7 linked regions of the Cricetulus griseus genome follow. The protein of the gene in region 1 purifies or fractionates together with the protein of each later gene. This does not show direct contact. Links are inferred from orthologs where the notes say so. Each region holds a gene or a part of one and is shown in the gene's direction. Other genes may lie near its edges.

Region 1 (4,239 bases):
ACTGACTTTTCAAAGGTGGGTTTCTGGGGTAGTACTCAGCACGTGGACTTTTTCCATCCAAGCTGTTTGCTGTTTTTGAAGTTACAATGCAGAAACATTACGTTGGCAACTGTAGTTTTCTTTGAGTTTGTCTCTCCTGCTGAGAATACCCTAAGATTAACCTTTTTGTTGTTTTTGAGTCTGTGCAGCCTAGCCTGGCCTCAAAGCATCCAGCCTCGGTCTCCAGAGTGCTGGAATGACAGGTATTTGCCAGTGTACTGGCTAAAATTGCCCCCCTACCCAGATTAAGTAAAAAGTCCTAATAGAGATTTTCCAAGGTTTATTGCTGGTAACTTAACCAAATTTCGAGCTTTTTTTCTTGCCAATAATCACATATAAAACTTGGTCTCAGCCGGGCGTTGGCACACACCTTTAATCCCAGCACTCGGGAGGCAGAGGCAGGTGGATCTCTGCGAGTTCGAGACCAGCCTGGTCTAAAGACCTAGTTCCAGGACAGCCTCCAAAGCCACAGAAAAACCCTGTCTCGAAAAACCAAAAACAAAAAAACAAAAACAAAAAAAAGTTGGTCTCATAGCTGGTTGGTGATGGCACTCATCTTTAATCCCAGCACTAAGGTGGCAGAGGCAGGTTAATCTCTGTGAGTTCGAGACCAGCCTGGTCTACAGAGTGAGTTCCAGGTCAGCTAGGGCTGTTACACAGAGAAACCCTTTCTGGAAAATAAACAAGAAAACCCCAAACAAACCAACCCCCCCCCCCCAGAACAAAAAACAAACTTTATCTCATGGGATGCACTAGCAGGGAAACAGACTTGCCAATACTGCCTCTAAACTGAGAGTTGGTAAATGAAGGAAGGTGTCAGCTTTATTTGGTCCTCAAATTACTGAGTTAGTGACTGATAGTGTGTGAGGTTGGGCGGACCCTGAAATTTTGCTGGGTGGGGCTGTTATTTGGCCTTAGAATGTACCCCTACTCCCACCAGCCATCTTAGAAAATGCTCACGGTGGATAAGGTAACAGGATTTACAGCTGTTATTACTGAGACAATGAAAATGAGGGCCCTGTGGGATATTGTGTCACTGACAAAAGTGAGAAATGTGTTGCTCCACTGAGTCCAAAAAAACTTTTCCTGCCAGCTGAGCTTTCTCCACTCTCTGACCGTGGTGATGCTCGTCTGGAGCAGTAGGTATGCTTAGGTTCCCCTCTTATTTGGGGGTCACTCCCAGGGCCTTGCAACTAACTCCTCGGTCCATTTTCTCTTTCAAAGTTTCCCTTCCCTTACTTTTTTTCTTCCCACCCTCTTCTTTTCCCAGCTAGCTGACCCCGCCTCTTGCACGCACCACCTACTCGGCCTCACGGGAGACTTCCCGCTTCTTCTCCCGGCCCCCCTACCCCTATCTGCCCGCCCTCCTCAGGTTCAGAAACCTCCAATCAAGAGCGCCGAAGGTGTCGCCAAGGCCCGCCCTGTCCTCCCTATCCACCTCTTTTACCCCCCTTGTTCCCTCCCCCACCCCCCCCACCTCAAGTCCGGCGGACTCGGGGGCTTCAGGAGCTGGGAGCTATGAAAAGTGTCTGTCCAGGCACTTCCGGTAAGGACGCTGTGGCTCGGAGCTCCCCGCGGGCTCCTTAAGAAAGGGGGTGACTGGCGGCGGGGAGCCCCGGTGAGGAGGGTGCTGGCAGGGAAGGGGTGCGGGAGCGGGAGCTCGTGCAAGCTGCCCGGTGCGAGCATCCCCGGTGCTCCAGTCAACCCCGCGGTTCGCCGGCGCCCCCGCCTCCCCGGCGCCTCGGGTCCTCCTCCACCCCCCACTCCGCGAGGGTGACGCCGCCTCTCCACGGGCGCCGCGTGACCGGAAGTGGCGCCATCTTTAGCCTCTTGTGCTATTGACAATAACAAGCCTTGGCTCGCTCCCCCTCCCCCCTCCAGCCCTGCGTCTCCCCTCCCCGAGAGCGAGGAGGGAGAAAAGGAGGAGGAGCTGCAAGCTTCACTGGCTCGCTGAGTCTCTCCCGCAGAAAGTGGGGGAAGAGAGACGGAAAAGCAGAGGAGGGGGACGGCACGGCCGTTTACCTGTCTGCCTCCTTTGCTTCCCCCCTGCCTCGCTCTCCTTACTGCCGGTGTCAGCCTATCTGCCTTCCCAAGCCCTCCCATTCCCCCCGGTGTGCCCCCCCCACTTTCCTTCTCGTCCTCTGTGTTTCTCCTCTCTTTCTTCCCTTCCCCCTCCAGCATTGCCAACCTCTCCTCCACGCACGCAGGCACATTAACGTAGGTTTTTGATGCTCCTCTGCCTGTTGACCCCGCTATTTTCATGTTTCCAACAGGTTTTTCTTCCCCCAATCCCTCTGCTGCTTCTGCTGCTGCTCAGGAGGTCAGATCTGCCACTGATGGTAATACCAGCACCACTCCGCCCACCTCTGCCAAGAAGAGAAAGTTAAACAGCAGCAGCAGTAGCAGCAGTAACAGTAGTAACGAGAGAGAAGACTTTGATTCCACCTCTTCCTCTTCCACCCCTCCACAAGCTAGAGATTCGGCGTCCCCTTCAACCTCGTCCTTCTGCCTCGGGGTTCCAGTGGCCACTTCCAGCCACGTACAGATACAGAAGAAGCTGCGTTTTGAAGACACCCTGGAGTTTGTAGGGTTTGATACGAAAATGGCTGAGGAATCCTCCTCCTCATCTTCCTCATCTTCGCCAACCGCTGCAATCTCACAGCAGCAGCAGCAGCAGCAGCAGCAGCAGCAGCAGCAGCAGCAGCAGCAACTTAAAAATAAGAGTATATTAATTTCTTCTGTGGCTTCAGTGCACCATGCAAACGGTCTGACCAAATCATCCACCACGGTCTCTAGCTTTGCTAACAGCAAGCCTGGCTCGGCTAAGAAGTTAGTGATCAAGAACTTTAAAGGTAACCAAGGCCAAAATCCATAATCACCTACTAAGAATTTGACACGTGAGCAGTCACGTGTGCTATATATGTTAGGATATCAAACAGTATAGAGGTCGCCTAATGTTTTATGCATAATCAATGAGTGGAAGGGAGGTCCTATTTTTGGTGGAGGGTTCTTTTTTCTGGGGTGTTTGTGGCCTTGCTCTGAAGCACACTCTTTAGTGTTTGCATACAGTGTTTTTTGAGGTCTGCCTCAGCCCATTATATCTAATGTGTTGTTCTTTAAAACATCGGCAGTATGATTGATCCGGATTTTTACAGGTGAGAAACTTGTCTTGTAAAGAGGTACATTTCAGGTGCATAGTGAGTCTTGGCACTACTGAGGTTTGTATTTTTATAGGCCACATGCTCCAGTCCCTAAAAATGCAGGTACCAAGGTTGATCGTTTTATGTTTAAATGAGATTTATAGTTAGGTTCTTAGTGTAGAGTACTGTATTTGTGAAACTCACTGTGGAAGGAATATTGGGTGAAAAAAATCATTTGGGTTTCTGAATTTCTTCCCAAAGGTAAAGTCTGAAAATGAAAACTACTGTGTATGCACAGAAGTAGTCTAGATTCTATCACTAATCTAAAGATAGAAACAGTGAACTACGTCTTTACCTCACCAAAAGGGGCATTTCAAGTATTGACCTGCAGCTACTAGAAAATTTTGCGCACCCCGTGCTTGAAATTACTGATTGAGAGTGTGATGCATGCACCAATGAAAATATAAGCAGCATTTAAAATTTATTTGAGCTAAGTTCTTATCTGTTGAATGTGTTTTTCTGATTATTTTTCACCATCCTCAGCTAGCAGGTAATAGATGCTAGACTGTTTATTCAAATGGGGATGTGAATGAATGGGGAGAATTGGTTACTCTGCTTGTGTTTGAAACGTTGGTGCGGAAAAGGGCAATGTGCTATTTGTCTCACCAAATAGTATTGTCTATTTTTAACCCTTTTTTATATGACCCTCTTTCTGTCCTCAGGCTCTTGAGAGTTACCTTCTTTCTGATTTACTAGTAGAGCTTTTGAAAGTGAATATGAACTGTATTTACAAATTCATTCATTACTTCACTTAAGACAATGATTTAATAGGGAAGGATTTTTCAAGAAATGAGCTGTGATTCTAATTGCATTTGCAAATTGATTTTAGACACTTTATTTTTCTTTCTCCTGAAGGCATTAAAACATTTGGATTCTTTAATTTGCTTCACTTATTGCTGGTGAATGAAGTTTAAACTCTAGATTAAGATTTCTTTCTGTTCTGAAAATACTGCATAGGTTCTGGAGTCATTTGGGTGTTAGTTTGTTTTTAAATTTTCGT
Region 2 (4,235 bases), on another chromosome or scaffold:
TCATTCTATGCGAACTTTCTATTCGTATGCCTCAGCCTCCGGAGTGATGGCATTACAGATATGCACCAGTACATCTGGCTTTACCTTACATTGAAAGTTTTCTGTAAGGATTTTTGGGTTTTGTTGTGTTTTTTGAGACTTGCTCTCACTATGTAGTAGTTCTGGGTACCCTGGAATTCCCTATGCAGATGATGCTGGCCTGCAACTGAGGAGTCCACCTGCCTTGCCTCCCGGGTGGTGGGATTAAAGGTGTGCACCACCACCCCAAGATTTTAAAGTTTTTTTAAAGCAGGGTCTCTCACACTGTAGCTCAGGCTAGCCTCGAATTCAAAGCAATCCCCCTGCTTCCGTCTCCTGAATGCTGGGATTACAAGTGCCCATCTAAACCCTTTTTTGTTTGGTTGTTTTTTGAGACAGGGTTTCTCTGTGTAGCTTTGGAGCCTATCCTGGCACTCTCGATCTTGTAGACCAGGCTGGCCTCGAACTCACAGAGATCCGCCTGCCTCTGCCTCCCGAGTGCTGGCGTTAAAGGCGTGCGCCACCAACGCCCAGCTCCCATCTAAACCCTTTTAATTTTTAAATTTCCTCACCTGCCTCCGTTCCACTAACACTTTCCTCCTGTCAACTGAGATTCCAGTCGTCAAAACATAAGGACTACTGGGTGGTAACCAAGGCCACACAAGTGTGGTCACCAAGTAAAGCTCTGAAAACTTCACGGAAGAAAACGGTAAAAGTCCGACCAATCCATTTCCCCCGCTTTACCATTTGCTTCCTTTTGAGACAGGTTCTCAAATAGCCCAGACTGGCCTGGAAGGTGCTATATGGCTGAGGCTGATTTTGAACTCCTGATTGGATACCCCCCCCACACCCCGCCTCTACCTCGCAAAAGCAAGCATGAGCCACCACTCGGGGCCCCTTTGCCTTTTAAAACTCCTCTTCTTAGCCGGGCGTGGCCTTTAATCCCAGCACTCTGGAGGCAGAGGCAGGAGGATCTCTGAGTTCGAGGCCAGCCTGGTCTCCAGAGCGAGTGTCAGGACAGGCTCCAAAGCTACACAGAGAAACCCTGTCTCGAAAAACCAAAAAACCAAAAAACCAAACTCCTCTTCTTAAAAACACGCGTGGCTCAACTACCCGAGCCGCGTCTACCACTAACTCGGGCACGCGTCCCTGCGACGCTAAGTCGCCCAGAAACTCCGCGCTGCCCTGGGCTCCGCCCTGCAGCTCCCGGGGGGTGGGGTGGGGAGTGGGGGGCGTCCCGGCGGCCCCGGCGTCTCCCCGCGCTCGCAGCACCGCGCACCCACCGCTCTTCCCCCGAGAACCCTCTCTCCGCAGAGCGGAAGCCCGCTCGTCCCGAGCCGCCGTCGGAAAGCGGAAGCGGGCCCCAGCCGCCCGGAAGCCGCCTCCCGAGAGCGGAAGGACGGCCGGAAGCTGCCCATAGAAGCGCGCGGCTAGAGCGGCCCTGCGGGAGGTGGCAGGAAAGGCTGGGAGCAGCCGCCGGAGGTGACGGAGCGGCCGCTCGCCCGCCCGCCCGCTCGCCCGCCCCGCCCCGCCCCGTGCGCTGGAGGACGAGGCTTCCAGGTAGCGGCCGCGGCCGGTTCCAGGGTACGAGCCCGGCCCCTCCGGTGCGGAGCCGCCGGTCCTGGGCGGCCTCTTTAAGGGAGGGGTGGAGCCGCGAGCGCGGGGGGTGAGGTCACGTGGCCGCGGGCACGTGCAGCACACGCGTCCCGAGCCGGGCGGGGGTGCGTCGTCGTTAGGGTGGCACCATGTGCCACCGCGTCCCTCACCGCCGCCGCCGCCGCCTCTGCCGCCTCTGCCGCCTCTGCCTGCGGGCCCAGCGGGGTGCACGCGGGGCGGCTTGCCTTTAGGCCCCGGACCCCCGCGCAGGGTGGGCGTGGCAGCCGGGCCGCGGCCCACTCCAAGGAAGCTAGAGCTGGATTTTTTTTTTTTTTTTTTAAGACCTCTTGACCCGATTTCTCACTGCAGAGGTGGCTGGCTTACTGATTGCCTCTGGAGTGCGGTTCCCTGCCCTCGAGCTGACCCGTCCCCGCCAGTGCCCCGGGCCCCTGAGCTTCACGATCGATCCTCTCTTCCTTGCAGCTCCAGACAACTTGAGACCAGAGCGAGCCCCCGCACCTCAGTGCAGCCATGAGCGCCGAGGTGAAGGTGACAGGGCAGAACCAGGAGCAGTTTCTGCTCCTTGCCAAGTCGGCCAAGGGGGCAGCGCTGGCCACACTCATCCATCAGGTGCTGGAGGCCCCTGGTGTCTACGTGTTTGGGGAACTGCTGGATATGCCCAATGTTAGAGAGGTGGGTTGCTTGCCCGGGTAGTCCAACCGAGAACCTTGGGGCCCAAGTTTCTTCCAAGAATGCCTGGGCTCGTTTTGTAACCAGTAAGCCACTCAGGTCAACAGGGTGTTGGTAACTAACCACCAGTTAAATAAAGGTCTTTCATTTCTCTTTGGAGATCAAGGGGGTCTGTAAATCTAACGTCCCCTCCCTCTACACACATCTTTTTGAGACAGGGTTTCTCTGTGAAGACCCGGCTGCCCTAGACTAGTAGTAGTAGTCATCGTCTGGCTTGGCCTTGCACTTGTGGCAATCCTCCTGCCTATTAGGCCTTCTGCCGGATTTTAATTTTTTTCTTATTTAAAAATGTGGAACGATTCACGAATTTACGTGTCATTTTTTGCTCAGGGGCCATGCTGATCTCTGTATCGTTCCATTTTTTGTGTATGTGCTGCCAAAGCAAGCAAGGATTTTGTTGTTTTTCCAGACAAGGTTTTTCTCTGTAACAACTGTAGCTGTCCTGGAACTTGCTTTGTAGACCAGGCTGGCCTTGAACTCACAGAGATTCAAGTGCCTCTGCCTCCTGAGTGCCGAAACCAAAGGCATGTACCACCACCCAGCTGGATTTTTTAATTTATAAGCAAAAGTACATGCCATTCAGAATACTGCTTGTAAGTTCAGCCTGTCCACCAGTGTGATACCTCTTAATAATCATGTCACCAGCTCAGTAGTGGAGGGGTATCTTTAATCTCAGCACTCAAGAGTCAGAGGGAGGTGGAGTTCTGAGTTAGAGGCCAGCCTGGTCTACAGAATGAGTTTCAGGCCCGCCAATGCTGTTACATAGAGAAGCCCTGTCTCAAAAAAAAAAAAAAACAAAAACAACAACAACAACAAAAAAAAACCAAGGCCTGGCAGTGGTGGCACACACTTGCAGAGGCAGGCGGACCTCTGTGATTTCCAGGTCAGCCTGGTCTACAGAGCAAGTTCCAGGACAGGTTCCAAAGCTACAGAGAAACCCTGTCTCAAAACAAAACAAAAAGAAAAAAAAAATGTCACCTTGATCAGAGAAACCTTATTAAAAGGCTCACTTTTCTCCTAAAAATGGTGATGAGAAACTGGAACATGACTCAGTTGATAAGAGTGCTTGCCTAGCATTCGTGGGGCCTCGGGGTCCTTTTCAGAACTTGGGATGCTAAGGCGGGGGATCACAAATATTGGGCCAGCCTATGCAACTTAGAGTCCATCTCAAAAAGGAGTAGGGATGTAGCTCAGTGAAAGAGCCCTTGTCTATAGCATGCAAGGCTCTCTATAGCTTGATTCTCAGAACTGCAAAAAGGAAAAAAGTACTGCCTCTCAACAATTACAGAAGTAAAATTATGGGAAAGTCTAAAGCCTCCTAAAAATGTAAAGATGAGCATATTATCATGCTATGTTACCTCCCCAAGTGTCGAATATACAAATTCGTTTATGGTAGATAATGAAGACAATGTCTTCTTCCCAAAGACAATGGTAAACTGCTATGAACACAGCAAAGAGCATCAATAACAAATGGCCAGTCAAGAGCTTGAAGTATAGAGCAAATGGATGGCCAACACTGTGTCACTGGCCTCTGTCCTGAGAGGCTAACAGTAGTGTGGCTAAACTGAGCCGAGTTTTAAGAGGCCTCTGGTTGAATTAGAGGATATAATGTGTTTTGGGTTGCCGTTTATAGAAAACTGGCGCTATCTTTTGTTCCTGATTTTATCTACAGTGAACTAAAGTATAGTTTTAAGATAAGTAGAAGAAACATTTTCTAATTGCCTTACAGTGTTTAGTATTCTGCAAAATATAAGGCTACAGGTTTGCCCTTCAAGCTTGTATTCAGTTAAAGAGATCAGATAAATGGATGAAACTGTGGAAGACAGTTATTTAGCAAGAGTTTAGTTTGAGGGCTGCAATTCTGCTGCATC
Region 3 (4,283 bases), on another chromosome or scaffold:
CCCTCTGCCTCGGTCAACCTCACCTGCCATGGAATCCGCCAAAGTTCCCCACAAGCTTTATCATAACACTTACCCCAAAGACTCAACATCAACCTGCCAACTGGTAAACTGCACTAGACTTGGAAGAAACAAAAATCATGACAAGAATTGCTAGGGCGGGAGGAAACAGCTGTGCGGTGTAAACTGGGCCTTCTAATTGGATGCATAGCCTGGGGTGGATTAGTTCCTCCTTTACCCCTCAGATTCCCTAGACTACAGTGAAGAAGCTGGCCTACTCATTCTAAAATTCTGGGTGACCCAAGAATTTTATTTGTATTCCCAATAGTCCTCCAACTCAATTTTCCCCTGGGCACATGCTTTGTGGATACTAGAATGAACGATGGCCGAGACTGGAAACTAGGGCCTGGAGGGGTTGCTAGCAGCTTAGACACAAGGAGCCATTAGTGCCGAGAGGCTAAGGTGCAGACTAGTCTGGAGTCTTCTTGGCTGCAGCTCACAAGTAACAGACAAGTGAGTGGTCCTCAACGTGGCTGGAGACGGTAGAAAGGAAGGCCTTTAACAGAGGGCTCCCCACTGGCACTGCAGCTTCATCACCCGATGGGCTCTAGGGCCGAGTAACCCGTCTTAGTTTACTGTCTGATAAAACACGAACAATAACAGAACCCGACTTATAAAGGTCGCTACGTGAAGTTTCAAGAGTGCCTGGTATACAAGAGGAGCTCAATAAACACTCCTGCCAGAGGCGCTTCACCACGCAGCACAGCCTATTCCAGCCCAAGTGGTAATTTCCCGGGATAATTAAAAAGCCTAAGCGAGATACAAACACGTGGGGCGTGCTAGGGACGATGGTGACTAATTCCTAACAGTCCCCAATTCCCAGCTAGATACAACATGCTCCGCACTCGCAGGGCCCACGTGAGGCCTCCGAGGCCCGGGTTTGAGTGTCACGGTGACCTTGGACCAGCCTAGTTCCTCACGGAGCCTCTACTTTCTTATCTGGAAACCGCCGCGTGAAACCCACGAAGGGCCCACGCCGCCCTATGGAAACCACCCGACCGCGTGTGTCTCGCAGGCCGGCGCCCGAGCGGTCTCCATGGCAGCACCCGACCTACCTTCCTGCCGGCAGTAGGACATGGTTGTTCCGGACGCTCTCAGCTCTGGGAGGCACTCAGCACGACCGTAGCGGATACACACCTTCACGCAGTGACCTCCCTTCGCCTCTCCTCAGGCTTGGCGGGCGGCACTTAAGCCCGCGCGGACCCGCCCCCTCCAGGCCTGCCCGCCGCGCGCCTGCCTCCCAGCTTCCTAAGCACCAGCGCCGCTCCTTAGCCGAAAACTACATTGCCCAGCGGCCCGTGCGCCCCTCCAACGAAGCAGGTACTACATTTCCCAGAAATCTTGCAGTGCGCACGCGCACCAGTGAAGTGTTGGGTGCGCTTGAAATTTTGTGGCGGAAAGTGTCCGATAGCGGACTACATTTCCCAGCAGGCCTCGAGATGTGCTCGCGCAGACAACTTGCGGGGCACAGACAACTATCCGCGGGGCGGTAACTCTTGACCTGAGTCCTGCCAGGTCCTGGATTCCACGCGGAGTCTTGCAGCGCGGTAGGAGAGAGGAGGTCACCGCATTCTGCCTTCCGGTCGTCAGCCTAATTCCTAGCAGAGCAGTGCTAGACCGCGGAGGCGAGCCGGGCCCACCATGGCTGCGAACGTGAGTACCTTCTGTTCCCTTGACCACACTATCATCCGGGACACTCCTTCCCCTGGTCCACGGTGGGTCCTTCGGCGATGCGACCTCAGTGGGTGCGGCGACCCTGATCTCCCTGTGCTCGTCCACCTGTCCACTCACCCTCAGGCCGCACGTTTGTGGAGCGCTCCTCTAAGTCGAATCGGCTCGTGCGTGGTTGCTCCTTCCACTCCTAGTTTCTGTCTGGGCCCCTGGGGTATGAAACTTGGGGAGAAGGACCGCGAGGAAAGTGTCTCTCGGTGGGCATATTGGTGAGGCGATTCCGGCCAGGTGGAGCTGTCCAGCAAAGGCTTCTCTGACCTCCGTGCCCTAGGGGGTGTGTACACCTAGGCTGTGCTGCTTCTGTAGCAGGACCAGCCTGGCCGGATGACCAAGAGAGAGAGGCCTTTCTCTACGGTCCGGTCCCTGGTGCACTTATTTGGTAAGAGACCCTGGCTGAGGATAACCTCTCCCCCTGTCCCCAACATCCCCCAGGTCTCTGGCTTCTTCCTACTGCAACTAGTCCTTAAGAACTTTACTAGTGAATCCGAACATTCATTCAACAAGCGGAGCAGCGCCACTTACTAGGGAACTGGGTGTGGGAGAAGCTGGTGACTCACCACTGCCTCTGGTGAAAGTGCCTCTGAAGCCAGCTCAGGAGTGCTGCCAACCCCAGGCACACCCTCTCTCCCTCCTTGGTAGAATGTCATTGCCCCCCTCTTCCCAGGCCTCTCCTCTGTCCGGCAAACCTCTTCTTGGCCTCCTACACCCCTGGAGCGGCCAGAGTTTGTGGGACCCACTGCCCAGGCAAAGGCACATTGTCAGGCCCTGGAAGGCAGGAGAACCAGAGGTTAGGAAAGCTGCACTGGAGCCAGAGGAGAAGGCACCCTGTAGACCAGCCTAACAGGAGCAGGTGGACTCATGATGGCGCTTATCACCATCACCATCATCATCATCTTTTACAGTTCCCCAGCAGAAGACACCGGCTCGGGGGTGCTAGGCCAGTATATGCTACAGCACCAGCCTGGGAAGGTGATGAGGGCAGGCTAGAGGCAAATCCAGATTCTTCCACTCTAACTTCTCTGGGTTCACTGTCTCATGGGATCAGTTACTTTGAAGTTTGAGGAAGATTGCTAGGCACAGAGCCTGGTACATGGGAGGTACTTAACCCATGGAAACGTCACTCTTACAGGCTAGTACCCACAGTCCTGGTAGGCAGAGACCATCTCGGGGATGTTGGAGTCTGACTCTCATACCAGCAAACATAGACACAATGGGATCTCTTCAGTAGCCATGCCTTTGCCTATTTGTTACATTACTTTCTTGGAAAGACTTGAATGAACATCCATTCAGTCAGCAGGATAACCATAGACCAAAGGAACAATCCTACCAACTCTATCTTGGTGAACTGTGCATACTTGCAGGAGCATGGGTAACCCCTAAACAGCTACCTCACCAAAGTCCCACATCAGCATAGGTGGACCACCCCTGGAAAGCTGCATAGATGAAGTGTCATCCCCTTTGCTCCCAGCCCCCCCTTCAGTTAGCCTCTGCCTTCTGTATACCCTAGCAATGCTATATACTGCTAGGGGTGGGACATAGGAGGAGGTGATCGGCTGGAATCTCATCCACTCTTCCAGAAAACATGCCTGATCATGTGAGGGGCTCATGTGGACAATCAAAGCTGTTCTTATTTCAAGATGTCAATGACTGTGTCATGCCTGGGGGACAGAGGACCAGAGCATTCATACTAGAGCTGAGCCACCAGGCAGGGTTAAAGACAGTGGGTGGAGCACAGGCACCTAGATTCAGAATAACAGCTGACCTGTCAGGTAGGTATTATTACCAGCAAGTGAGGAACCAGGACCAGAGAGGTGGAGCATGTTACCAGGCTCACACAGCAACAGAGCTTGGATTCCAACCGTGGTGTGCCAATTTCCAGGCCTAGTGTGTTCCCACCTGTTGCTTCATTGCTTGTTCATTCTGAGCCCAGTGTGCTCAGAATACGTTACGGAGGATACATAAGTGTATGTATACACATGCAAATACATATTCCCATATAGGTACCATTTGCCATCTCACCCCTCCCCCAGCTGGAGGAATATCCTCTTGGCTTCTATCCCTTCCTGGGCTTAGGAAGAACAGGAAAAACACAGGTTTCCTTTTTTCTATTTCCAATTGTTCAGATCACATTACAGCTAAGGTCACTTTAAGCAATGAGGAAGGCAGTCTAGGGCAGAGGGATCTTGCTGGATTTGAGCACCTACTCACTACACATAAGCTTGATCTGGGCAGATATCCTAAGCAGTGAGTCTCGATTTCCTCACCTGTGAAATGGGGTAGTGCTAGCCTCTTCCACCTTGAGCTGGCTCATGACTGACCATGAGCTGGCTCATGGTCACCTTCTTGTCTGCAGCGATTATCTCCACTAAGTTTCTGATGGTGTCATTCTGGGTTCAGTGGGTGTCCTGAGCCAGCAGTGGAGAACAGCCAGAAGTGGCATCTGCTGTGCTCATAGACTCCGACCCAAATCTATCCTCTGATCCTGGGCAAGAAGG
Region 4 (4,097 bases), on another chromosome or scaffold:
GGGTGGGGGGCAGTGACTGCCCAGGACACAATTCCCATTATATCTTAGCTAAGTCAGTTTCCCTGGAGCTGGCGTTTCCCTTGACCCCCATTCTCACTCTAGCAGCCCAGACCCTAAGCCCTTGACTTCTCAAAGCTGTTAAAGGAAAAACACCACTGTCACCAACTCCACCCCCCCCAAAAAAAAACCCAGTCCCTGAACACTATAAAATCAGAGTAAGGGAGACCATCCACAGCCATGTGACAGGTATAAGAGTCACAGCCTTGAACTGCATGGAGAGACTTGGCTCAAAAACATCAGCAAATAGGGCCTGGCAGTCGAGGAGTGGGTTTGAGGTAGATAGGAAATGGCTCAGGAGTAACAGGGGTTTTGCTGAAGGCAGGGTCTGATGACACGGTCTAGGAATAGTACAGGGTGATGGGCCTTACATGGCATGGAGGGCAGGCAGGTGGCAGTTGGTTTCAGGCTTCTTGCTGCATCGACTTCACAGGGATATTTGTTAAACCTGGATCTTACAAGGAGGTGCACAGAGGGTCCTAGGGGAACATCCAGAAGCCTCACTAGAATCTTCTAGACTGTCAGAGTATCTCAGGCTTGCTCTCCCGGTAATCCCCCTCCATCCCTTCCTCATCTTTACCCTAAAACATACCAAACTCTCAGTGAACAGTCCGGGGATATAATGCCTCCCCCCACACACTTCACTTTGCAGATCTGAAGCTGTCCGCTGAACACCTGCCTCTCCTAAGCCACCACACCGCAGCATTTCTAGGAGTTTCACTGCCCTGGGGATCTCGCATGAGTGGGATCACAGCGTTTGTTTTATTTCACTTAACAACATCCTCAAGGCTCACCCGTGCCCATGGGTTAGAAATCCCTTCTTAAGGAAGACCCCATACTATCGTACCACGTGGATAACTCCTGTTGTGGTTTCGTCTGCGTTCACCTCTTGCTTCCTCCTCTTGGCTGAGGTGATCCTGAGCGATTTCCAAGTGAACCTAGGCTGGGATTCTGGGTCGCTGCCACTGTGCACAGCTTTTAGATTTCTGCTAACCCTAGCAGCCTGGGGGTCCAATCACCCCGGGACCTTCTCGCTACCGCATCACGGGCTGCGGCTTCTGTATAGTAGCCAATCTGATGGTTTAGAACTGCATCCCTGTTGGAAAACAGTCTCCTTTCTCCACCGGCCACTGGTGCTCGCGGGGTGCTTGCTGCTGGTCCTAAACCGGTAACCTGCTGCCCTTCCCTGCTCAGGAGCCGGGTCGGCGGGGCACCACCGAGGCGCGGTCCTCCGGCGTCTAGACCTGTTCGGAGGCACGCCGGAAGTGGACGGGGCTGGCCGGAAGTGAGCGCAACGCCGCAGCTCGGAGATGAAGCCGGCGGTGGATGAGATGTTCCCCGAGGGAGCGGGTCCCTACGTGGACCTGGACGAGGTGGGGCTGCGGCAGTGCGCGGCGGGGCGTGGGGGCGGGAGCGCGACCCGCAAACACGCGCCCCGGGGGAGCCTAACGCCGCCGGCGGCTGGGGAGGCGGAGCTGGCGGTGACAGTCGCCGGGCCCGAGGCTGTGCGGCCGACGGGACTGCAGCGAGCTAGTCGGGGTTGCTGGTGGACAGTTCTCCGACCCGGGCTCCTGGCAGATCTTCCCAGCAGAGACTTAGGGGCTGACGGGGGGAGGGGCAGGGCCGATGTGTGGCCTTGGTGTGCTTTGCGCTGGGTCTCGGGTGTAGACACAGTTTTGGAGCGGCCTTGTGTCTGTGGCCTCCGTCGTGGCCACAGAGCGATTTTATCCGGGGCAGGCGCTCCAGTGAGGTGGTTGTGATCAGGAGTGCCAGTCAGCTCTTGTGTATCAAGCCTCTTGCTCCCCCCAAAACTCAGCGAGCAGACAGATGCTCGGATGCAGTCCCTGTCCACGGGATTTTGGTTGGCTCAGCTTTCCCTGAGCCGAATGGAGAAGGACTTGCCCTGGTTTCATGTGGACATGTATGAAAAGAGCCATAGGAGCAGAGCTCTGGAAGAGTTGATGCTCCCTGGACACAAACAGGAGGGGACACCATCTAATTGGGCACAGAGGGGAGGGAACAGGCAGGGCCACATGATGAAGCCTGCAGAACGAGTATGGGCTCCGTGATCCACTGCCGAGGCCGTTGCGGTCATACTAAGGAGAGACAGGCCGATTTCCTGTGGAGGTTGGTCCACAGGAGGGTTTGGAATTTGTAGGGAGACAGTAGAGAAATGGAAACAGGAAGAATTAAGACTTGAAGAGCTTCTGAGTGAGGCAGTGAAGGTAGGGGGAGCTTGGTCAGGGTTTCAGAAGCAGAGTCTGTGCGGCTTACTGTGGCGATGGGACTGGGGAGGGAGGCCAAGCGTCCAGAGAGCAGATTTGAAAGGGAACAGAGGAGGTGTTCAGCCTTTTGAGAACCAGGAGGGGGTTGAGCAAGCAGCCTTGGGGCGTTAGGGCCCAGGCAGGAAGGGGCCTGGGGCTAGCTGTCCCGAGTGCTGCTGCCTGAATGCTCCCACCTTCTGGGTGACTAAATGGCACAGAGTCCCAAGAGTATAATTGTATCTCATAAATCAGGTGGCTGTCCTGGAGGGTCCTCAGAGAGCAGCATCCCAGACCTCAGGGCTGGGGTGGTCACCGTCCCAAGGGGAATGGCTGCATTCTCAGAGGGGAGGGTCTAGAGTAGTTACTTGGCTTGCTGCTGCACTGTGTCCTGTGGTGTCTTGAGGGAAGGGACTGAAGACTCCAGCAAGAGAGCACTACACACGGCAATGCCAAAGAAGACTCAAGGAACACGGGACCTCAAGAGACCTTTAAAATAATTTGCTTGGCTTCCCCATTCACACTGCTTCCTTTGTCTGGAAAATTCTGGCTCCAGTCTGAGCATTCTTCCCGTCACTCACTGTTCCGTTCCAGGGAGGAGGGATGGATATGGTAATGAACCTACCACCTGCTTTTAGAAAACAAACACACGGAATGACCTTACCTTTCATTCTCCAGGCCGGAGGGAGCACCGGGCTCTTGATGGACTTGGCAGCCAACGAAAAAGCAGTTCATGCAGACTTTTTTAATGGTGAGTGTGGCAGGATTGGGTGCCAGGCTTAATCTGAGTTTCCCCTGCAGTGGGCAGCTTTGTGTCATGGATAATTTGGATCATGGAGCAGAGTAGCCAAGATCTTATTCTCTTCTCGGTACTGTGCCAAGTGTATGGAGTCACCTGGCTGTTAGCTCTGGCTGTCAGCCCTATTTGAGGGGAAAAACATGAACTAAATCCCTCCCCAGCTCACTACCCAAGGTAGCATATGCAAATGGACACAGTGATTTATGGTCTGTATCCCAGACCTGGGTGCAGGGACCTGCATGGCTCTGTCTTCCCTCTACTGTCTCCTATTGGTGGCTTGTTTCCCTGGGTCACACCTGTTTGCCCACCTGGATTCTCATGTCCTGTGCTGCCTTTGCAGAGAAACAGCTGAGCTCTGCTTGAGCTTGCCCTGTGTCTGAAGTCATGATGGAGGGCATGCCTCCATCGCATAACAGAGCTGTCTTGGTTACAGTATTTTACCAAACAAACAGTGAAAGCCGACTGAAGAGTCTCCAGGCATGTGGCAGGGCATGTTTGGTACCTCCCATTCCTCTGACTTCTGAAGGCCTCCTTCCTACTGGTTAACCCGTACATAGGGTTCAGATGGCAGCTGGGAATTTAGGATAAGTTTCCCACAGGGAGGGTAGTAGCGTTTCTCCGTTTCATCTCACCTGAACTCTGTGGTGCATGGTTCTCCAAAGAACCAGACTCATCCTGCCATGTGCATTTCTAGCTTACTTGTGGCCCAGATGGGTTTGGGGGCTCATTGGCTTGTGGTTGCTGCTTGTGTGGGGATGCCACCTGTCAGATGGGTGCTTTCCTCACTGGGGACATTGCTTCTTCCCAGCTGCTGTCAGAAGCGGGGAGGGGGATAAGTAGAGGGAGAGGTATGACACATAACACCGGAACCTTCGAAGACATTCTCTAAATTCTGTTCAGGGAGTAGATGGTGCAGGGCTACTGAGTGTTCCCAGCGCAGCCTTGTGGCACCTTGGTCTGTGGCAGCTCATGGTACTTGA
Region 5 (3,198 bases), on another chromosome or scaffold:
CTGGATGTGGGAAGTGTAAAAAGTGTTATATCTGGACTCTCCACCCTCCTTTGTGTTTCATAATTTCCTGAAAGTTACTGATGGCCATTCTTCTCCCAGAAGAGGGCTCTGTCCATACCTGGCTGTCCTTAACAGATTTTTTTGCAGGCTATGCCTCATGGGCCTTGCAGAGACACCAGGCTGCGCCACCCTGCTCCCAGCATCACTGTTCGTCAGTAATCACCAAGGTACAGAGTCCCTTCCTTTGTCTTGAGAAAGCCCTGTGTCCTCTGGATGACCCCAGTTAAGCACATGGGCTGGGATAGGCTGCAGGGTGGGAGGGTTCCCAAAGTCTGTCCCAGGATCACTGCATCTTAGACTTTGCTACTTTTTATAAACCCCTTGAAGTCATTTCTGCAACCAAAGTGCAGGTGACTAGCTAGCACAAGACACCAAAACACTGGTCTGAGCTGCAGCCTGTGGTTGGTTAAGCTCCCAAGTGCTGGAGGCATGCCGGCTAGCTTGCTGGAAGCAGTTTGACTGGTTCTTCTGACAGACCTCTGCATGCTGTCTGCAGACATCAGGCAGAGCTAACCCAGAGCACAGCTACTCCATTCCCATATTCAACCATATTGCATGACCTCTGGAAGATGGAGGCAGTGCCTACCCCAGCAGGTTCCTTGTGGAGGTAAAGGAGGCCATGAGCATTTAGCCCTGTCAGCATCTCACTGCCCTGCAAACTTGAGGGGCGTGTATCTTACCACTTTACAGATAAGGAGTGGGTCAAAATTTTGCCCCAGGAGGGCTGGAGAGATGGCTCGGTGGTTAAGAGTACTGCCTGCGTTTGAGGCCAGCCTGGTCTCCAGAGCGAGTGCCAGGATAGGCTCCAAAGCTACACAGAGAAACCTTGCCTCGAAAAACCAAAAAAAAAAAAAAAAAAAAGTGCAGTACCTTCTCTTCCAAAGGTCCTGAGTTCAATTCCCAGCAACCACATGGTGAAACTACAACCATTTGTAGTGAAATCCAGTGTCCACTTCTGGCCTGCAGACATACATGCAGGCAGAACACTGTGTACATAATAAATAAATAAATCTTTAAAAAAAAATGTTGCCCCACGAAACTCATGTTTTAATGTTAGAAGTCTTGATAGTAACTCCCTTAGGAAACCATATGAAATGAGATAGAAATTGGAAAAGGACGTGAAGGAGGCTCCTGGGCTACTGGTGTGTCTTAGTGGTGGACACATGGCTGGATTTACCCCTCGAGATGTTCTGTCAGTTCATAGTTTTCAATGTTTGACTTGAGCACGCTGTTGGTATTGGGACAAGGATTGAAACCACATTCCCGACACCACCCCCATCCCAGCTGTTAGCACTACAAATGCCACAGTCTGGACTGAGAACATGAGTTGCTCCTTGAACAGACATCTGATCTTCAGGCAATCTTTATTTGGAAGATCATAAACAAAATATCACCACAGGTGACCCTGTTTTCCTTTGTTTCTTTTAGCAGGTACAGACCAGCCCGGCGTTCTCTGCAGTTTCCGGATCCCTGGTGCCTGGTCCTGTGCCTGGTCCCTGAACACCCAGGCCAATAACTGCTTCAGTACAGGTGAGCCATAGCCATAGCCCTGGGTGTCAAGTAAAGAACTCCACAAACCTGAAGGTCCCACCCACCAGTTCCTCTTCCTAGACTGCCAGCATCCCTGGTCTCAGGGACCCATTTCTTGTTTCCACCAGGTTTGTCTCGAAGGGTCCTGTTGACCAACGTGGTGACAGGACACCGGCAGTCGTATGGAACCAACAGTGATGTCTTGGCTCAGCAATTTGCAGTCAAGGTTGGTTGGATTGGGAAGGGTGTAACAGAACGTTCCCAGAGTGAAATGTTTTCGGGAGTGACACTGGGTTTCCCTAGTATATCATCTGGGCCCCGCCTTTTTACAATAAAAAAGGCATGGGAATGATCAGTGGGTACTTTGTTTTGTTTTGTTGTTGTTGTTGTTTTTTATTGGTTTTGGTTTGGTTTCCTTGAGACAGAAACTCACTATGTAGCCATGGCTGGCTTGGAACTCACTTGTAGGCCAGGCTATCTTTGAATTCAGAGATCCCTCTGCCTCAGCCTCCTGAGTGCTGAGATTAAAGGTATGTGCCACCGTACCCAGCAGAATTTGTTTTTTTTTTTTTTTTTTTTTTCAAGATTTGCTCTGTAGACCAGACTGGCCTCGAACTTGGAGATCTGCCAGTTCCAGGTCAGTCTGGTCTACAAAGTGAATTCCAAGACAGCCAAGGCTACCCAGAAAAAACTTGTCTCAAAAAAAAAAGAATAAGAGCTGGGTGTTGGTGGCGCATGCCTTTAATCCCAGCACTCAGGGCATGCCTTTAATCCCAGCACTCAGGAGGCAGGCAGATCTCTATAAATTCAAGGCCAGTCTCGTTTTCAAAGAGAATTCCAGGACAGTCTCCAGAACCTACAGAAAAACCCTGTCTCAAAAAACCAAAATGTAAAAAAATGAAAATAAAAAGGAAGAAAAGAAGCCTAAGGGGACAATGGCGCTACCTCCAAGTACCTACAGGTTCACCACAGGGTAGACACTGGAGAGACACAGGGTCCATGTCTTCTACCCTCTCACAAGAATTCTGCCTTCCTTCTGGGTCCATTGAGACCAAAACTCCTCCCAACCCTCATGCAGGACACACCCTTCCATCCGTAGGGGCCAATGGTAAAAGCTGGGCACTACCTCTCTCTCCACAGACTCCTTTACTGTTTAATGGCTGTCGTTCTGGGGAGATCTTTGCCATTGACCTGCGTTCTCCAAGTCAAGCCAAGGGCTGGAAGGCCACCCACATCTTCCATGATTCAGCAGTGACCTCTGTACGGGTCCTTAAGGAAGAGCAATACGTGATGGCATCAGACATGGCTGGAAAGGTAGGAGAGCCTGACTTCAGGCCTCGGAATGGTAGGGTCCAGGTCTGTAAGAGACCCTGACACCAAGACACCAGGGTAGGGGCTACCCTAAGTCCTTTTGCTGCTCCACATGAGCTTAATCTTGCCTAGACAGAAGTGCAGAAGAGCCTTTGGCTCTGTGATTCTGATGGACTCAAGCTTTAGGAGTTAGAGGCTTCAGTCTCCACAATCTAAAAGGCCCCTGGAGATCACCTCGCCCTTCCAGCTTCAAACCTGGTAGTCGCCGAGTTCCTGGTACACCCTTCCCGAGTAACC
Region 6 (3,500 bases), on another chromosome or scaffold:
TGTCCTTGAATTCCCCTTCATTCTATACCCCCTCCACACACACATACAGGGTGTTTCTTTGTTGTCCTGGAACTTGCTGTATAGACCAGGCTGGTCTTGAACTCCCAAGTGCTGGGATTAAAGGCATGTGTCATGTCCACTCCCTGTTTTCTTTTTTTAAGACAGGGTTTCTCTATGTAGCTTTAGAGCCTGTCCTAGCGCTAGCTCTTGTAGACCAGGCTAGCCTCAAACTCACAGAGATCTGTTTGCCTCTGCCTTCTAAGTGCTGGGATTAAAGGCATGTGCCTTTAATGACAGTTGGGGAATGGGGTAGAAAGGAGGTCTGGGCTTGACTGCATTTTCCTCATGCAGGAAATGAGCTGTTCCAGCCTTGCCTGGATTTTCCAAGCCCCTAGGCCAGTCTCCATCTCTGTGTTCGAGTGGAGAGAAGATGGACAATCACAGAGAGTGTGGCTTAGAGGACTCTGCTTCCCAAGTGCTGGGATTAGAGGTGTGCACCACTACCATCTGGCCCCAGCTATTTTCTTGTGCTTTTAAAAACTTTTTTTTTTTTTTTTTTTTTTTTTTTTTTTTTTTTTTTTTTTTTTTTTTTTGGTTTTTCTAGACAGGGTTTCTCTGTGGCTTTGGAGGCTGTCCTGGAACTAGCTCTTATAGACCAGGCTGGTCTCGTACTCACAGAGATCCACCTGCCTCTGCCTCCCGAGTGCTAAAAACTTTTTTTTTTCTTTAAATTGTGCTAATATGTGGAAGAACCTTGAAAATAGTATGTTAATGTAGTAGGTATGGTGGTGCACGCTTGTAATCTAAATACTCATGTAACTTGAAGCTGAACAATCATGAATTTGAGTTCAAGCCCAAGTTACATAGTGACACTGTCTCAAAACAAACAAACAAACAACCCAGCAAACCTTGGGTTACATGAGTGTCTTAGGGTTTCTATTGCCGTGAAGAGACACCATGACTGCTACAACTCTTGGTTTTTCGAAACAAGGTTTCTCTGGCTTTGGAGGCTGTCCTGGAACTAGCTCTTGTAGACCAGGCTGGTCTTGAACTCTCAGAGATCTGCCTGCCTCTGCCTCCTGAGTGCTGGGACTAAATGTGTGCGCCACCACTGCCTGGCAACTGCTACAACTCTTACAAGGGAAAACATTTAATCGGGGTGGCTTACAATTTCAAAGGTTTAGTACATTTTCATCATGGTGGGACATGGTGTGCTGGCAGACTTGGTGCTAGAGAAGGAGCTGAGAATCCTACCTCTTGATCCGAACGCAGCAGAAGGAGTCTGTATCCACACTGGATATAGCTTCTGCATAGCAGACCTCTACAGTGAAGCACTTCCTCCAACAAGGCCACTTTCTCCTAATAGTACCACTCCCTATGTATTTGTGGGCCAATTACATTCAAACTACCACAGTGGGCCTAGTGTGGTAGGCCTGAAGGCCCAGGAATCAAAGATGAACTAAGAATACCCAAGGCTCAAGGTCTACCTGGGTGACAGCGAGTTTAAGGACAATTTGGGCAAATAGACCACTCAAAAAACAAACAAACAAACAAACAAACAAGTCAGGTATTGGGGGTGAAAGCCTTTAATCCCAGTGCTGGAGGCAGAGGCAGGTGGATCTCTGAGTTCGAGGCCAGCCTGGTCTACAGAGTGAGTTCCAGGAAAGCCAGCGCTACACAGAAAAACCCTGTCTCAAAAAAACCAAAATGCTCCCCTCCCCAAAAAACAAAAAAGAAAACAACCCAAACCAAAATATCAGCTACCCAAAAAACAAAACTAAAAAACAAAAAGCCCTAAACAAATATTGGGGGTATAGCTCAGTGTTAGAGTGATTTCTTAATATATTTGAGACTCTAGAATTCTAGTACCAAACAACAAAATGAATAAACCAAGAGTTAGTGATGTAGCTCAGTAGTGGAGTTCTTACTTAACCTGAGCAAGGCCCTGTGTTCAATCCCTGTCATTGTCAAAGGACAAAACAAAAATTGCCAACCAAAAGTAAGTGAAAGCAGCAGAAAGCTGTAACAGTGTATGTATTCTAGAAGGCTGATTGCTTAAAGGGCATTCTTTACAGGTTTTTTTTTTTTTTTTTTTTGCTGGGGCGGGGAGTGGGGGTGTGGGGGGTGTGTGGGAGGTGGGGTGGGGAGTGTTGAGGGGTGGTTATCAAAGCCCTGGCTATCTTGGAGCTTATTTTGTGTAGACTAGGCTGACCTCATACTTAGAGATCCACCTGCGTTTGCCTCTCGTGTGCTGGAACTAAAAGGCTTGCATTCCCATGCCTAGCTTGTTCTTTTTGAGACAGGATCTCTTTCTATGTAGTCCTGACTGTCCTGGAATTCACGGAGATGTTCCTGCCTTTTCTTCCCAAGTGCTGGGATTAAAGGCATGGTGAGGCTCATTTATTTACTTATTTTTTTTTTTTTTGGCTTTTCAAGACAGGGTGTCTCTGTGGCTTTGGAGGCTGTCCGGGAACTAGCTCTTGTAGACCAGGCTGGTCTCGAACTCACAGAGGTCTGCCTGCCCCTGCCTCCCGAGTGCTGGGATTAAAGGCGTGCGCCACCAACGCCTGGCTTATTTACTTACTTTTATATTTACTTATTTATTTATTCATTTCTTTTAAAAATTTAACCTTTTAAAATATGGAAAAAATAAAAAGGAGCTGGACTGTTATGTGGTAGAGCACTCGTCTAGCATGCGTGAAGCTCAGTTCAATCCTCAGTACTCCATAAACCTCTGTAGTGGTTATATATCTCTAATCCTAGCTCTTGGGAGGTAGAAGCAGGAGAATCAGAAAATCAAAGTCATTCCTGGATATAAAGTAAGTTCAAAAGTAGCCTAGGATACATATCTTGTCTTTAAAAACAACTTGTAAGCCTGATGTGGTGGTTATGTCAGCTGGAGCTACTAATGAGAGCCTGTCTCCCTATCCCGGAAGATTGTAAATTTACAACCCAGTGGTATTTAGTAGATTGACAATTGATTGCAGCCATCACCTCTTCAGTTTCAGTGCCCTCCCACCCATATTTTGGAGACAGGGTCTCTCTTGTGGCCCTAGCTGGAGTAAAACTCACTGTATAGACCAGGCTGGCCTCAGACGCTAACAAGTGAGTCATCTCCCCAGTCCAGCTTATCCCTTACCTACTACCTCCATCCTTTTCTTTTTGTGGCAACTATGTCAGATATGTTTGTTTTGTTCATTTCTTACTGTTTTTACTTCTCTAGGCCAAGCCATGACTACGGTAGTGGTACATGTGGACTCCAAAGCTGAGCTCACTACCCTGCTGGAGCAGTGGGAAAAGGACCATGGCAGTGGGCAGGATATGGTACCTATCCTTACCAGGTAAGAATAATTTGCTTTTCCACACAAAACTTGTCTTTCTTTTCTATACACAAAACTATATTTAAAAAAATAGGTGTATTGGTGCTAGCAAGATGGCTGAGCAGTTAAGAACATCTGTAATTTTTGTAGAATTTGGTTCCCAGCACCATGTTGGGCTGC
Region 7 (3,500 bases), on another chromosome or scaffold:
AAAAGAATGCTTAGTATTTACATGGAAAAGACAGCACCTGAATGCTGAAATATACCAGTGACCAAGTAGAAATTTTTTTTATTTTTTTTTCAAGACAGGTTTTCTCTGTGTAGCCCCAGCTGTCCTGGAACTCACTGTGAAGACCAGGCTGACCTCAAACTCAAAGATCCTCTTGCTTCTGTCTCTCAAGCACTGGGATTAAAGGCATGCACCACCACTGTCTGGCTAGAAACTATTTTTTAAAAAATATTTAACTTTACTCTTATAGGCCAAAGAGTGTGGCCAGATGCAGAATAAGTGGCTGATGATAAACATTCAAAATGTACAAGACTTTGCATGCCAGTGCCTCAACCGTGATGTGTGGAGCAATGAAGCTGTGAAGAATATTATCCGGGAACATTTCATTTTCTGGCAGGTGAGAAGGACTATTAAAGATTTTTTAATATTTATTTTTATAATATAGGATGTTGTGGAAGAGAAATGGGTTTATAAACTGGGAAAAGTGAATTCATTTATGACATAAGTTAACTGTAATGGGTAAATAGTAAGGATAAGGGCAGCAGTGAAGAAGTAATGGAAAGAGAAAAAAGAACTAAGTCAGGAGCATCTTGACAGTCAGTCTACAGCTGTACAATTCAGTAGAAAAACAATGGAAGCACACATGGTTTACATATTTCTAGAAATATCTGAAAAGGGTCAAAGGAAACAGGTGAAATTAACAATATTTCTTCTTTAAATCAATACATGATTTAATGTCATTACTCTCTGTGTGTATTAAATTCTCAAGATATGGTATGTATTTCATGCTTATTGCATGGATTAGTCAACTTCAACTGTTGAATAGCCCTACAAGGCCAACAGCCATGAGGAAAACATCTTAGAGCATTGGAGAAACACTAAAACTTGTGTTTGAGCTTGAATTTGTTACTCTTTGACTAGTGTTTTAGCTTAGTATTCCTTAGTGTCCCAGATATAATATCTTTTTGTGTAGATTATCTAGTTAAAACTAGGTAGCCTTCTAATTTCCCTTTTGTTTCAGTCTTTTTGTTTGGTTGTGTTTGTTGTTGTTTTGTTCTTTTGGTTTGTTTGTTTTTGGTTTTTAGAGAGGCTTGCTACTTGACATTCAACCTGGAGTCTCCTGCAAGCTAGTCACATGCTCTACCATTAAGCCAGTTTCCATCCTCCTTTTTAGTTTTTGTTGTTTTTTCAAGACAGGGCTGCCCTGGAACTCACTCTGTAGACTAGGCTGGCTTAAACCCAGACATTGACCTGTGTCTGCCTTCTGAGTGTTGAGATTAAAGGTGTTCACCTCCTTTTTAGCATTTGAAACTACCCCAAGTAGGCCTTCAACTTGTGACCCTTTGACCTCAGACACCTGAGTAGCTGGGAATTATAGTCTAGGCAGGCCCAGTTTCAATTTCTAGTTTTTAAAAAGTTACAAAAAATAACTTAAACTTAATATTTTCTTATTCTAAGATATACTACTATTAATGCTATTAATTTACCTGTTTTGTGTTTTATAGTCTGATAAATTCAGTGGGATTTTTGTGTTTTTTTCTGTTTTTATTATTATTATTATTATTATTATTATTATTATTATTATTATTATTATTATAAATTTGTGTGTGCTATATGGGTATAGGTATGTGGTATGGAGGATTGAGAACAACTTTTGGAATTTGGGTTCTGGGACTCAAACTCAGGTTGTCAGACTTTTGCTGCAACACTTTTATCATGGTGGCCTCTGTGACTGGTTTGTTTGTTTGGGGGATTGTTTTTTTGAGACAGGGTTTCTCTGTATAATAGCCTTGGCTGTTCTTGAACTCACTCTGTAGACCAGGCTGGCCTTAAATTTATAGAGAGCTGGGATTAAAGGCATACACCATCACTGCCAAGCTCTGTGATTGTGTTTTTTTTTTTTTTTTTTTTTTTTGTATACAACATTCTGCTTCCATGTATATCTGCATACCAGAAGAGGGCACAAGATCTCATAATGGATGGTTGTGAGCCATCATGTGGTTACTGGGAACCGAACTCAGAACCTCTGGAAGGCCAGTCAGTGCTCTTAACCTCTGAGCCATCTCTCCAGCCCCGATTATTTTTTTTAATGGCAGAATTCCTTTTGTTTAATTCAGATATTGACTGAAGAAAATATTGTTACATCTCTGCCTAATAAAATGATGGGTTTTTAAACTACATATATTGTGATTTATTAAAATACATGTACTGTGCCAGGCATAGTGGCACATGCCTTTAATCTCAGCACTTAGGAGACAGGTAGGCAGAGCTCTGTGAGTTTAAGGACAGCCTGGTCTACATGGTGAGACCCTGTCTCAAAAATAAACTAAAACAAACAAAAAACCCCATAGATAGACAGATACTTGAGAAGGAAGAGTTATTACCTCTTGTGAACTGAGAAGGGAAGAGGAATAGGTTTGTATGTTGACAATGAGTGTTCAGAAGGGACTGTGAGTGGGATATAAGTCCATACCTGACCTTACTTCCACTCTCACATGCAAGTGAGAATTTAGCATGTTTGTCAAAGGCTTACATGGAGACTCCATTGCTGTTAGTAGACAGTATTATAGCCAGCCTTTTTTAAAGAGGCTTTTTATATCATTGGCTTACCAGGTTTATCACGACAGCGAGGAAGGTCAGAGATACATTCAGTTTTATAAACTAGGGGATTTCCCCTATGTTTCCATCTTGGACCCACGGACAGGTAAGTTATATCAAATTACAGCTTTTAACTTATAAATTATTTTTCAGTGCCTAAATATTTTATTGGATCTGGTTCCAGAAATATAATAGTTAAGGAAAGTTTTTTGTTTATTCCCATTATAATTATGTAGACACCCTTGGATGTGTATATTTAGGGACTGTATTTCTGGCAACTTGATGGGTAACAATGTTTTGTGTTTGTGCAGTTCTGTTCTTGGGAGTGGGGGCTGATACAATCATCTCTTTGTAAGGGTCACCTTAGGTTTTTGTTTTTTGTTTTTTTTTTTTTTTTAAAGATTTAACTTATTTATTTATTAAGAGTACAACATTCTGCTCCATGTATGCCTGCATGCCACAACAGGGCACCAAATCTCTTTATGGATGGTTATGAGCCACCATGTGGTTGCTGGGAATTGAACTCAGGACCTCTGGAAGAGCAACCAGTGCTCTTAACCTGTGAGCCATCTCTCCAGCCCTAGTTTTTCTATTATTAAATTGTTAAGATTATTTTAAGTACTGGTTGTATTCTTTTAAAAGCACTAGAGGATGAGCTGATTTCATCATTAATATTTTTATTTAAATTTTGCTTTGTTTGAATTTCTTTTTTCTAAATGGCTGTAAGTGGTGCCAGCAGATAATTTTCCTGTCATAGGTGGGAATCTATCAATGAGTTGTAATTGATGTTGTCAGTAGGTTACAACAATATTGTGTGACTTCAAGTGAGGGATGGGCATATGAATTTGTAGCAAAGTTTAACTATGCATATGGCAATTATTTAA

What was found.
Region 2: the proteins of Cul4b (region 1) and Cops7a purify together in Homo sapiens (affinity purification with mass spectrometry; 6 studies listed by BioGRID and IntAct, with this or other methods). This does not show direct contact. The link is inferred for Cricetulus griseus from reciprocal best matches to the Homo sapiens genes CUL4B and COPS7A.
Region 3: the proteins of Cul4b (region 1) and Tmem43 purify together in Homo sapiens (affinity purification with mass spectrometry; 3 studies listed by BioGRID and IntAct, counting the BioPlex papers as one, with this or other methods). This does not show direct contact. The link is inferred for Cricetulus griseus from reciprocal best matches to the Homo sapiens genes CUL4B and TMEM43.
Region 4: the proteins of Cul4b (region 1) and Cops9 purify together in Homo sapiens (affinity purification with mass spectrometry; 3 studies listed by BioGRID and IntAct, with this or other methods). This does not show direct contact. The link is inferred for Cricetulus griseus from reciprocal best matches to the Homo sapiens genes CUL4B and COPS9.
Region 5: the proteins of Cul4b (region 1) and Dcaf4 purify together in Homo sapiens (affinity purification with mass spectrometry; 9 studies listed by BioGRID and IntAct, counting the BioPlex papers as one, with this or other methods). This does not show direct contact. The link is inferred for Cricetulus griseus from reciprocal best matches to the Homo sapiens genes CUL4B and DCAF4.
Region 6: the proteins of Cul4b (region 1) and Dcaf1 purify together in Homo sapiens (affinity purification with mass spectrometry; 9 studies listed by BioGRID and IntAct, with this or other methods). This does not show direct contact. The link is inferred for Cricetulus griseus from reciprocal best matches to the Homo sapiens genes CUL4B and DCAF1.
Region 7: the proteins of Cul4b (region 1) and Ubxn7 purify together in Homo sapiens (affinity purification with mass spectrometry; 3 studies listed by BioGRID and IntAct, with this or other methods). This does not show direct contact. The link is inferred for Cricetulus griseus from reciprocal best matches to the Homo sapiens genes CUL4B and UBXN7.

What each region holds. Positions count from the first base shown.
Region 1 is NC_048604.1:28,526,136-28,530,374, forward strand, and holds the start of Cul4b (cullin-4B), read left to right. Parts: upstream 1-1,439; 5' UTR 1,440-1,557; coding exon 1,558-1,585; intron 1,586-2,312; coding exon 2,313-2,891; intron 2,892-4,239.
Region 2 is NC_048601.1:21,450,495-21,454,729, forward strand, and holds the start of Cops7a (COP9 signalosome complex subunit 7a), read left to right. Parts: upstream 1-1,435; 5' UTR 1,436-1,578; exon of another isoform or gene 1,579-1,602; intron 1,603-1,805; exon of another isoform or gene 1,806-2,097; 5' UTR 2,098-2,145; coding exon 2,146-2,307; intron 2,308-2,648; exon of another isoform or gene 2,649-2,749; intron 2,750-4,235.
Region 3 is NC_048601.1:52,332,943-52,337,225, reverse strand, and holds the start of Tmem43 (transmembrane protein 43), read left to right. Parts: upstream 1-1,483; 5' UTR 1,484-1,698; coding exon 1,699-1,710; intron 1,711-4,283. Other genes in the region: Chchd4 (mitochondrial intermembrane space import and assembly protein 40), read right to left, coding at 1,113-1,134. UniProt on the Homo sapiens protein: May have an important role in maintaining nuclear envelope structure by organizing protein complexes at the inner nuclear membrane. Required for retaining emerin at the inner nuclear membrane.
Region 4 is NC_048595.1:444,129,406-444,133,502, reverse strand, and holds the start of Cops9 (COP9 signalosome complex subunit 9), read left to right. Parts: upstream 1-1,297; 5' UTR 1,298-1,367; coding exon 1,368-1,430; intron 1,431-2,996; coding exon 2,997-3,069; intron 3,070-4,097.
Region 5 is NC_048598.1:120,191,814-120,195,011, reverse strand, and holds part of Dcaf4 (DDB1- and CUL4-associated factor 4), read left to right. Parts: intron 1-147; coding exon 148-227; intron 228-1,488; coding exon 1,489-1,590; intron 1,591-1,718; coding exon 1,719-1,816; intron 1,817-2,730; coding exon 2,731-2,904; intron 2,905-3,198. UniProt on the Homo sapiens protein: May function as a substrate receptor for CUL4-DDB1 E3 ubiquitin-protein ligase complex.
Region 6 is NC_048597.1:215,042,882-215,046,381, forward strand, and holds part of Dcaf1 (DDB1- and CUL4-associated factor 1), read left to right. Parts: intron 1-3,086; exon of another isoform or gene 3,087-3,105; intron 3,106-3,223; 5' UTR 3,224-3,231; coding exon 3,232-3,341; intron 3,342-3,500. UniProt on the Homo sapiens protein: Acts both as a substrate recognition component of E3 ubiquitin-protein ligase complexes and as an atypical serine/threonine-protein kinase, playing key roles in various processes such as cell cycle, telomerase regulation and histone modification.
Region 7 is NC_048597.1:57,160,551-57,164,050, reverse strand, and holds part of Ubxn7 (UBX domain-containing protein 7), read left to right. Parts: intron 1-268; coding exon 269-415; intron 416-2,631; coding exon 2,632-2,722; intron 2,723-3,500. UniProt on the Homo sapiens protein: Ubiquitin-binding adapter that links a subset of NEDD8-associated cullin ring ligases (CRLs) to the segregase VCP/p97, to regulate turnover of their ubiquitination substrates.